Nothobranchius furzeri: one gene and its partners. The main gene of each other region encodes a partner of the protein of the gene in region 3 in a complex. Links are inferred from orthologs where the notes say so. Each region holds a gene or a part of one and is shown on either strand. Other genes may lie near its edges.

The links. Proteins that work in one complex are often made in the same cells at the same time.
Region 1: KAT8 regulatory NSL complex subunit 1 (region 3) and kansl2 share a complex: the UniProt entries of both Homo sapiens proteins name them as parts of the NSL complex. The link is inferred for Nothobranchius furzeri from reciprocal best matches to the Homo sapiens genes KANSL1 and KANSL2.
Region 2: KAT8 regulatory NSL complex subunit 1 (region 3) and ogt.1 share a complex: the UniProt entries of both Homo sapiens proteins name them as parts of the NSL complex. The link is inferred for Nothobranchius furzeri from reciprocal best matches to the Homo sapiens genes KANSL1 and OGT.

Annotation. Positions count from the first base shown.
Region 1 is NC_091755.1:57,561,627-57,565,126, reverse strand, and holds part of kansl2 (KAT8 regulatory NSL complex subunit 2), read left to right. Parts: intron 1-52; coding exon 53-225; intron 226-353; coding exon 354-468; intron 469-1,592; coding exon 1,593-1,756; intron 1,757-1,836; coding exon 1,837-2,000; intron 2,001-2,528; coding exon 2,529-2,625; intron 2,626-2,688; exon of another isoform or gene 2,689-2,825; intron 2,826-3,205; coding exon 3,206-3,459; intron 3,460-3,500. UniProt on the Homo sapiens protein: Non-catalytic component of the NSL histone acetyltransferase complex, a multiprotein complex that mediates histone H4 acetylation at 'Lys-5'- and 'Lys-8' (H4K5ac and H4K8ac) at transcription start sites and promotes transcription initiation.
Region 2 is NC_091741.1:100,483,413-100,486,314, forward strand, and holds the end of ogt.1 (UDP-N-acetylglucosamine--peptide N-acetylglucosaminyltransferase 110 kDa subunit), read left to right. Parts: coding exon 1-109; intron 110-1,192; coding exon 1,193-1,454; intron 1,455-1,581; coding exon 1,582-1,705; intron 1,706-1,781; coding exon 1,782-1,962; 3' UTR 1,963-2,402; downstream 2,403-2,902. UniProt on the Homo sapiens protein: Catalyzes the transfer of a single N-acetylglucosamine from UDP-GlcNAc to a serine or threonine residue in cytoplasmic and nuclear proteins resulting in their modification with a beta-linked N-acetylglucosamine (O-GlcNAc).
Region 3 is NC_091756.1:53,928,245-53,931,866, reverse strand, and holds the end of KAT8 regulatory NSL complex subunit 1, read left to right. Parts: intron 1-55; coding exon 56-113; intron 114-403; coding exon 404-516; intron 517-585; coding exon 586-838; intron 839-2,691; coding exon 2,692-2,892; 3' UTR 2,893-3,122; downstream 3,123-3,622. UniProt on the Homo sapiens protein: Non-catalytic component of the NSL histone acetyltransferase complex, a multiprotein complex that mediates histone H4 acetylation at 'Lys-5'- and 'Lys-8' (H4K5ac and H4K8ac) at transcription start sites and promotes transcription initiation.

The sequences.
Region 1 (3,500 bases), on a different chromosome or scaffold from region 3:
CCAGACCTTTAACTCCAACATCTTTTTTTTTTCCCCCATGTTTGTTCTCCAGAGTGACATTCTGTGCAGAACATTCCCATAAGAACGCCATGGCTTTGCAAGCTCAGATGAGAAAGTCCTCTGCTGGTCCATCTCCAGAGGCTTTGTTATCCCAGCTTAGCTGCTCTAACCGTGCAGAGGCATACAGTTTAGAGGGAGGACGCGCTGAAGCCAGCCGCATTCTCGGTAACAGGTCTTGATTTAACCTGGAAAGACACAAGTAAAAGCGCTTACTCTTTAGTCCAATGAATCATCATATTGCATGTTTTAATATATTATCTCTGTTTTAAACCCCACCTTCTCTGTTTTGACAGATGTAGAAAGTCTGAGTGAAGAGGAGCAGGGACCCCTGGTTCTTGACCAGACGTGGAGAGGAGATCCAGACAGCGAGGCAGACAGCGTTGACAGTGATCATGAAGATCCACTAAAGTAAGATGAAAATCTCACCCTACAGCAATCTGAATTCACATTTTTATTCTACTGATTGGATTTCTTTGTAAATAGACCCATTGCTTATTTTCTTTTGTTATGAGGTAGGATGCTAAACATGTAAAAATTTCTCCAAGTAAAGAAAGAAAGAAAACAATCTTTTATAAAGAGCCTCTCGAGATAAAAATTACAAGGTGCTACACAAAAAGAAAAAATTTAATTATAAAAAAGATTTTTAAAATGTGATTAAATAATATGTTTAAAATGAGAAAAAAAAATTGTGATTAAAAAATGTAAGGAAAGGGGGGAAATCAGTGGATCCCGGGAAATGTGGAATAGGTTGAGCAGAAAAAGGACAGGGTGATGATGAGTTGCAGTAATCTAAGCGTGAGGTGAAGTAAATTTTATAATGAAAACACTGACAAACTTGTCTATCCAGACAAACAAAAATGTTCAAGAACTGGAGATTTATTATTTAAGTAAAACGGCAACAAAAGAAGCGTTAAAAAGATCTTCAGCTCGGACACCAGTCACTCAGTCTGTGGAAGCTTCCAGTAGCCTGGCCTGCCAGACTCGTCCTCTGTTTATTTAATTCTGCACAGAGAAAGAGTCTGATAACTCACAGGCAGAGACGCACATGAGGGGCGGGACTAGGCAGCTCAAAAATAACCAGTCAGATAAAGACGGAAATGCTGACTGTACCACGCGCCGCTGCAGTTTATTTAGCTGTAGTAAAAAAGGCGTCTGGTGAGAGCGCAAACATCAGTTTTTTTTATTTAGAAGAAAGGCTTTTAGCGCTTCAACTACTTCTATCTACCAGTCATTTAGAACAGAGGAAAGAGCCGCAGCGAACTCCGCTTCAGTCGCCATGTTTATAACAAACTCGGCATTGTGGTGTGTGACGTACGCTACTCAGCGCCGATTGGCTCGGTTAGAATTCTCAGGGGGTGGGGTTATTTGAATAGGAGAGTTCCCAGACCCTTTCTCTGTGCAGAATTAAACAGAGGAGGAGTCTGGCAGGCCAGGCTAAGCTTTCAGATCAGTTGTGTCTGAAGTCTGCATTTTTCTACAGGAAATATCATGATTTTGTTCATTCTTATTCTGGTTTTCTTGTATATTTGCAGACATGCAGGAGTTTACACAGCAGAGGAAGTGGCCTTGATCACTCGAGAAAAGCTCATTAGGCTCCAGTCCCTCTACATCGATCAGTTCAAACGCCTGCAGCATTTGCTCAAGGAGAAAAAGCGCACATATCTTCATAATCGGAAAGTGGAGCACGAGACTTTAGGTAAACTTACGGTACTTTGTAATTAAATGTGTTCGAAGTGGTTTGTCATTGTTGCTGTTTGATTCATTTATGTTTGACAGGAAGTAGCCTCCTGACAGGACCAGAAGGTTTGTCCTTGAAGGAGAGGGAAAACCTTAAAAAGCTCAAAGCTCTCCGTCGATATCGTCGTCGGTACGGCATAGAAGCCCTTCTTCATCGACAGCTCAGGGAGAGGAGGCAGGCTTTGACAGAAGGAGCTCCTCAGGTGGGAACACGGTTACAGAGCAGCTAAGTTAAAGTGTGCCATAAACACACAAGCTCCCCATCTCTTCTGTTCTGTATGCAGTCAACCAATTTCTCCCTTTATCCTCTGAATCTTGAGTTTTCATCCGTGAGTTTGTGGTGCTCTGCTTAATACTGAAGAACCCCTATTATTTCAGTTTAATAGGTAGGGGGCAGGATTATGAGTAGGGCTGAAAATAATCAATAAAATGGTTTAATTAATTAAATTCCTTGAATTATTGTTTACTGATTCGTTAAATGGTGAAGTGGAGACATGCACATGCTGGGAAGATCTGATAAAATTATCCTGAAGTTCCGATAGTGGAAACCCTCCTAATGTGCCATGAAATGTTAATAGTCCTGTCCCTCACTCAGAGGCTGCTTTAGCTAGGATGAGTAACTCGGCCATTTTTGAATGCTGCCATGAGTCATTTTTAGGAAAACCAAAGCATTGTTTTAAATGATCTAGTGTGACTGTTGAGTCAAATGTTTACAACCTCTTCTGTTGCAGATTCATGCAAAAACAGTAAATGAAAAATGCGTCTCTTTTGTGGAGGGAACCAGATGTACCAACACCTGCCTGCCCTTGGCTCGACACTGTCTCTCACGTATCCTTAACCATTAGTTTTACTATGAGAACTTTGTCTGTTTCTGGTTCTGTTCTCTGAACCCTGGCCCTGATCTAAAGCAGCAGCTTGCAGTAGCTGTTCGTTTTTAAAGGAGCCTAAATGAACTCCTTCCTGTGGTCTGTTGATTTGTTGCCCCAAACTGTAAAAGGGACGAATCATTTCAGTTGGAAGGAACAACATACTTTCCTAAGCCTCTTTTGTCTAACCCCTGAATCGTCCAGTGAGTCAAACTTTTCTACAAATAGAGTGGAACATATGGAAGTGGAATTTTGTAATGTGATAGTCACTGATAAAATGCTGTTGTGATTTATTCCAGCTGGAAAAGTGTGTAGTGTCATCATGGGTACATGAATGAGCTCACTGATCAGAATGTTACATCTATAGCAGCCAATGTTTCATAATTAAAGTTAGTTACAAGTTTCTCAACAAAAGGCTATTACCCAGGTTAGTTCATGCATCTGCACTAACCTTATGTTTTCTGAGCCTAAAACATCCATCTTTTTCTCTCCTTGAGTTAAACTTGTGTCTGAGGCGTTTTCCCTGACAGCCTGACTGTCAGACATCTACCAGGACAGCAGTCAGGTGCTTTTTAAGATCTGTCCAGGAATTAAAGATGTTCCGTGTGATCGTGTTGTCCACATGGGTCAGTCTGACAATCCTCGCTGTCCACTCCACCTCACTCTGCCTCCACTCATGTACCAGCCCGAGCAGGAGCCCCCCCAGCAGGAGCACTTCACACCTGCAGGCAAAGACATGTACCTGAGTGCAGCAGAGCTGCAGCCCACAGAGAACCTTCCCCTGGAGTTCAGTGATGTATGTTAAAACTGTCTTACACACACACACACACACACACA
Region 2 (2,902 bases), on a different chromosome or scaffold from region 3:
TGTAGTGACGACCCGCTCCCAGTATGGTCTCCCAGAGGACTCCATTGTCTACTGCAACTTCAACCAGCTGTACAAGATTGACCCTCCTACCCTCCAGATGTGGGCCAACGTATGTCAAACAGATGGTGTTCTACAGGGCTGAACGATCTATTGTTTTTGGACTGAAATTGCGATTTCAAACAGTACGATCACATGACCGTCAAAGCTGCGGTTTTAGCGGTTTTGACTGATCCAGGATCAGTTGTGTAACTTTTTTTTACATCTGGGGTTTTCCCCTGTGTTATGGCGGCGGCAAAGGCCAGCGCGGGGGAGGGGGGAGCCCAGCTCCACAGCTGACAGAGCTGCATGTTCAGGTTATTTTCCTGTTTTATGTTTCCACACACAGCGCTGCTAGAGCCCATAATAATGGCGAGCCCGGGACGAGAGAGAACGCAGTTGAGTAAGGGAGAGAAAGACTCCTCCCACATCAGCAGGTTCAGGCTGACTTCTAAAGCTTGGTTTATGCTTCATCAGCGCGAGCGCGGAGTCGCGCACTGTAGTTGACTTAAAAGTTCAACTTCTCTTTTAAAAATGGTTTGAATGTTTCTGACAGCACACGTTAGTTCAAACAAGCTAAGGTGTCAGAATGCGTGCGTCTCTCACGGAACAAACGTTTTAGTGAGGAAAAACTATCAGACGGCTTCAAAAACGTGCAGCCAGCCTGCCTCGGTAATGCAGGGAAAACTGCAATTTTTGTTATTTAATACATTTAAAAGCTATTTCTACCTGCAGATTTCCTCCATGCATTTTTGGAGTAGAACTGTTTTAATAAAGCTCCTCTAGATAAAAATCACAAGCACAAACACAATAGAAAATAAACAAAAAGATAAGAATGGGACAAAATATAAGTAGCTTTAACTTTTTTTATTGTATGATTAAACAGTAAATATTAATGGGAATGAGTTGTTTACTAGATTAGAATCTAGACCATCTTTTCACTTAATCTACAGGATGCCCTGGCAGGCTAATTTTGGGACTTTGTTTGCAGAAAATCGTGAATTGAACCGAAATCGCAATTTCTGCTAGAATAATTGCAATTCAATCTTTTTCTAAAATCGTTCAGCCCTACTGTTCTGAGTGGTCCATATTCAGCTGGGAGCAAAACTTAATTCCATAAGCTTGTGTTTAGTCTATTTTCATCCTGTTGCTGCAGATCCTGAAGCGTGTGCCCAACAGTGTGTTGTGGCTTCTTCGCTTCCCTGCTGTTGGCGAGCCCAACATCCAGCAGTATGCTCAGAACATGGGCCTGCCTGCCTCTCGCATCATTTTCTCTCCTGTGGCGCCTAAGGAGGAGCATGTGAGGAGAGGCCAGCTGGCTGATGTGTGCCTGGACACCCCTCTGTGCAATGGTCACACTACAGGCATGGATGTCCTTTGGGCTGGAACTCCCATGGTAACCATGCCAGGTGAGGAAGGTGGGAATTAAGAAAAACCATCTCTTGGCTTCCTGAACTTACTCAAGTGTTTAACAACTTCAGAGCAAACGTTTAGAGTGCATTTTCACAAATCTTGTTTATTAAATCTGCATTAACCTTCCTGTAGGTGAGACTCTTGCCTCCCGCGTGGCTGCCTCACAACTCGGCTGTCTGGGCTGCCCTGAGCTGATTGCCCAAAGTCGCCAGGAATATGAAGACATAGCAGTCAAGCTGGGCTCCGACATGGAGTAGTAAGAAAATAATTGTCAAATCATTTAATTCTCTTTTCTGAAGGAACTTTGGCTCAAATAGGTTTTCCTCCCACAGCCTTAAGATGATCAGAGCACGCGTTTGGAAGCAGCGGATCTGCAGCCCCTTGTTCAACACTAAACAGTACACAATGGACCTGGAGAAGCTCTACCTGCAAATGTGGGAGCACCACAGCAACGGCAACAAGCCAGACCACTTGGTAAAACTCCATACGGTCGAGACCAGTGAGAATGCCTGAACTGGAAACCTTCTCCACCAAGTCCCAACTGTTTTTAACCATCATCGACAGCATCATTTGGTCGGGTTTCACTCCAGTTCTTCGTCCTTTATTGACTGTCTTATTTACAAACGGACTCCTTCCTGCACGGAGCCTACACATGTTCACATTTGAACTCATCGCATTATTAAGCCACACACGTGCATATCCTAAGCCAGATTGGGGCTGAATTGTTCAGGCTCCTCGTCTGAGACTTTTGTCCAAAAACACTTAATATGTATTTTGTGAGCATGAGAAGGTAGTGAATACCCCACGAACCCTTCAACTCTTGGATCAGAGGATTTTTCTTCTTCTCCTGTCGGTGTGTGTACAGGACTGATTGCAGCTTGCAGAGAAAATACCCAACTGTCTTCACTTGATCTGTTTAGAAATTAAAAGTGTCATGTGTTTTAAAATGACAATGTTGCACCATTGAAATAGTACGTTTTGTCAGCTTTAACCTAAATTATGGAACAGATGGCCTCAGTTCTTTAGTTGAAGCTGTTTTTAAATGGCTGCAACAAGTAAATGTGCAAGTTTTAAGGAAGTGACGTCTTCCTTCGCACAATGCCAATTAGAATTATTTTGTCTGTTAAGGAATGTCTTTAGTTGTTCTTGTTGGGCTGTCTATGAATTGGACGCTTGTTTATTTTTTTAAAGACCCAAGTTGCAGTTAAAATACCATCTGTTCATAACTTGATTTTGTTTTTTTAACACAAACCAGGGAATGGAATAGGTAAGTATTTTCTAAAGCATTTTTGTTTTATATTGTTTAACTGTATGCTGTCAGTGAAGCTGCAATTCTCTGAATATAATAAAAAAGATACAAAAAAAGTCTTGATTACATCTGTACTCTGTTAAAGAGCACGGAAAAAATTAACTGAAACCCCCCTTTTATTTACCTGCAACAACTTTTATTTAT
Region 3 (3,622 bases):
GTGTGGTTCTGGCTCTGATGGGAGTTCTGGGGCTGACTGTTTTCTGTTCCTTTAGTTGGAGATCTGTGGATGTTTTCTGTTTGCCCATAACTGAAGAGGAGGACGAGCGCGAGGTGGGTCCACTTCCTGTTTTGTTCTGGTTCCTTTGAACTGATGTAGTTTGATTGAAGGTGGGAAAAAAAGAAATGAATGGTAATGTTGGTGTAAATATGTAGCTGTGAGTGAACAGGGACACCTGGTGGTCAAAATTATGATTCATAGGAAGAAAGAGCTGCATGAACATCTGGATCTGCTGTTAGTTTGGATGGTGGCAAGTCCAGAAGTGGTTTACATTTTTTATGTTTTTATCTCGGTGTGAAACAAAATGATGACGATGAACTGTTGGATTGTTGTGATCCTGCAGGTGGAGGACCTCTCAGATGCAGCCTTCATCCAGCTTCATCAGCCCTACGAGGACCAGGAGCGGTCCCGCTGGACCTGGATGGCTCTGGCTCCTGCTAAGAGGAGGGGCAGCAGGTGAGTCCTGGTCCAGATCACCGTTCCTGCTATGTCCTTCTGCAGGTCTGACCCTTCACTGTCTTTCAGGTCCTATAAATCGGTGGATGGACGGACCACACCGCTCCTGTATGGGACGAACCCTCCCACCCCACAGCCCGCGTCCCCAGACCCAGGTCACTGCCCCAGTCTCCATGACTACAGCCATGTGCCATCACCCATGAGTCCAGCCAGCCCTGATGCGTCCTCCAACCCCCACACACCCTGCTCCAGGGACTCGCACCGACTGCTGTCCAACGAGGACACACGCTGCTCGACGCCTGACTTCACCTTTGAGGAACGGGTGTGTGGCACCACCTATATCAGAACCAGTTGTTTTCTAGAAACTCCGCCTATAGCTAAGCTTTATCATTTAAAATACACAGTGTGTGATTGATATGGGGAGCCTGTCTCCTCCCTGTCGTGGGTCCCCAGAAGAACGATAAAATGAATGCAAGTCAACGGGGCTAAAAAAGCTGTTTTCTAATCCGCTTTGCCTTACGCCCTGGATCGCTTATATGTTATACTTTGTTTTAAATGCATAGTAATGTGTGTTTCGACCACGCCTGTCAGGGACTTTTATGTATAAGCTTGTTAAAGTTTGTAATTAGCATGACTAAAAATCAGACATCGGCACGTCACATTAATGACGTCTCCACAGAATCCTCTCTCCCCTAACGTAGCTGCTAGGTGGCCAGATTTATGGTGGTTCTTTCCTCCTGACAGAAAGACTTGAAGGTTGCTGAACTTCCCATTTTCCTGTTTTTCTGTGTCATGTGTGATGATGTCACTTTTGTGAAGCGCATTCACACAAAACCTAAAATGGCAATTTCCCCCGTTCCAAAATAAACACGTTCTCTGTATTAAAATGTGTCTTTAGAATTCACGGACATCGTATTTGACACCCATAGTACATAACAAGCAAGAATAGAAAATAATGTTTTTAGCCCTACTGACTTGCATTCATGTTTTAGTTGTTCCGGGGAAATAGATGGGCACGACCTACGCCTGGACACGAAAATGCACCACAAAGGAATGAAGAGCGCTTCTATTTTGCGCCCTTGTTAATCTACTTTCTCGCTCACGTCAGCCGCAAAGCACGCCGTCCAGAGATCGTCATGGCGTGTGCTCATTTGTTTGCGACTAAGTCGAAACCAAAACAGGAGGCAGGCCAGTAAATTCTAACAAAATGGACATTTTTCAAAGTAAATACTGATAAGTGACAATTTTTGCGTATCTAAATATTTGAGAGATGAAAATGAACACACAAACACACACTCCTGCAGAGAAACATGGCGTTTCTATAATTTTAATGCAGTTTTTACAGCAAAAAGATGTAATAAATGTGAACACAAACAAATACGTTTCATACAAAGCATTGTACACAACCACAAACACTAGTTATTTACTTAATAATTTAGAAACAGCAGCAGGATCAGCTCAGTTTTTGATATCAACAAGTGGGGTCAACTGGTTACACACACACACACACACACACACACACACACACAGCAAGGGCACAGGGGTGGGGGTGTTTAAAAAAAACCGTAGGCGTGAGCAAAAGGGCTCATCAAAAATTCTCGCCTGATGTGAAAAGAGGAGCAGCGGGCAGTGTGCGAACTTTGAGTGACGTGGCGCTTTGCAGCTGATGTGATCTGGCATGAGGCTCCCTATTAGGAATGATTGTGAAATATGGAATCATTAATGTTTCAGTGTCAATTTAGGCTTTTAACACTTTTTTTTTCTCCCCACCTTATTTTAAACCTTGTGATACGGACATATTTGTGTCTTTAATAAAGTGAACTACTACCACCACCATTTCTACTAATACCACACACACACACACACACACACACACACACACACACACAACTTCTAACAGGTCTGAAATCCATAATTTCAAACTACAAATGTTTAGAAACAGGAAGAGGCTTCATCTGAGATTAGAATCATGTGTTCTGGGTCTGTTTGGATGATCAGAACCTGACCCTGCAGCACTAGACCAGTCCTGATGGGTCCTCAACCCAAACCTGTGGTTCGATCTAACTCTCACCATCTAAACCTTCCATGTCATCCCAATAAACGCTAGATATCCGAACTGGAGGATCCTTCTAAACATGCCTCCTTCTAAAATGTCTTATTGTTGCACGATTTCAGACGGTGGCACCATGGGAGCGTCGCAGCTTCCCTCTTCAAGAAGACCCGGCTCCCGAGCCCGAAACCGACCACATCAGGCCCAGAATGCGCACCATCTCCGGTTGCCGAGCAACAGCCTATGCACGTCTGGACTCGGACGACCCTGAGCTGGCCTGCGACGACGACAGTGTCTCCAAGTTCCGGGCCTCCGCCCACCGATGAGTGATGGACAGGCGGGCCTCGGCTCGGCCCCTCTCTGGCATTAACAAGCAGAACCTCAACGCTGACAAGGATGTTAAATGGGTTCCTGTTGTTTGATATTCAAACATCAGTCTAAACTTTTCACAGTTTTTAGTGAACATTATGGAGATAGAAGCCTTTCCCCACACTTGTTTTTGTCACAAAACAAGATAAATGTTAAAAAAAACGGACTATAAAACAACACATTGCAGGAAGTGATCGTGTAGTAGAGGCTAAACAATGTACATGGGGCTTAGTGGTGTTTCAGCGTCGCGTGTACACTTGTAGCGCACTATGTAGCCGACTCCTCCAAACGTGGCCAAAGGGTGTTTTCTATTGACTAGTCTGCTTGTAAATCCCCATGTACATTTTTAGTGGAGTGACAAAAAACAAAACATGAAAAAAAAAAATCTCCCTTTCCCTCTCCACCAGATGAGCAGGTACATTTGAGATGTTGTTCCTCCTCCTCCCTCTAGAGGTCGCCTGAAATCACCAGAGCACTTCTTCTACTGCCAAGTGTAGTTTTGCTGGTTTGCTTTGTTTGTTTTCTCATTCCCGACACGTTTTGTTAATCCTGTTCTGTCTGCTCAGTAATACATATTTTGTGTTGTAAATCATTCCTGTTGTCTCTGGAGTTCCTGTTTGACCCCCAGGTTGGCACCATACAGGCCAGGAGCAGTGTTTGGGGTTTATTTAGAAGCACTTGCCTGGC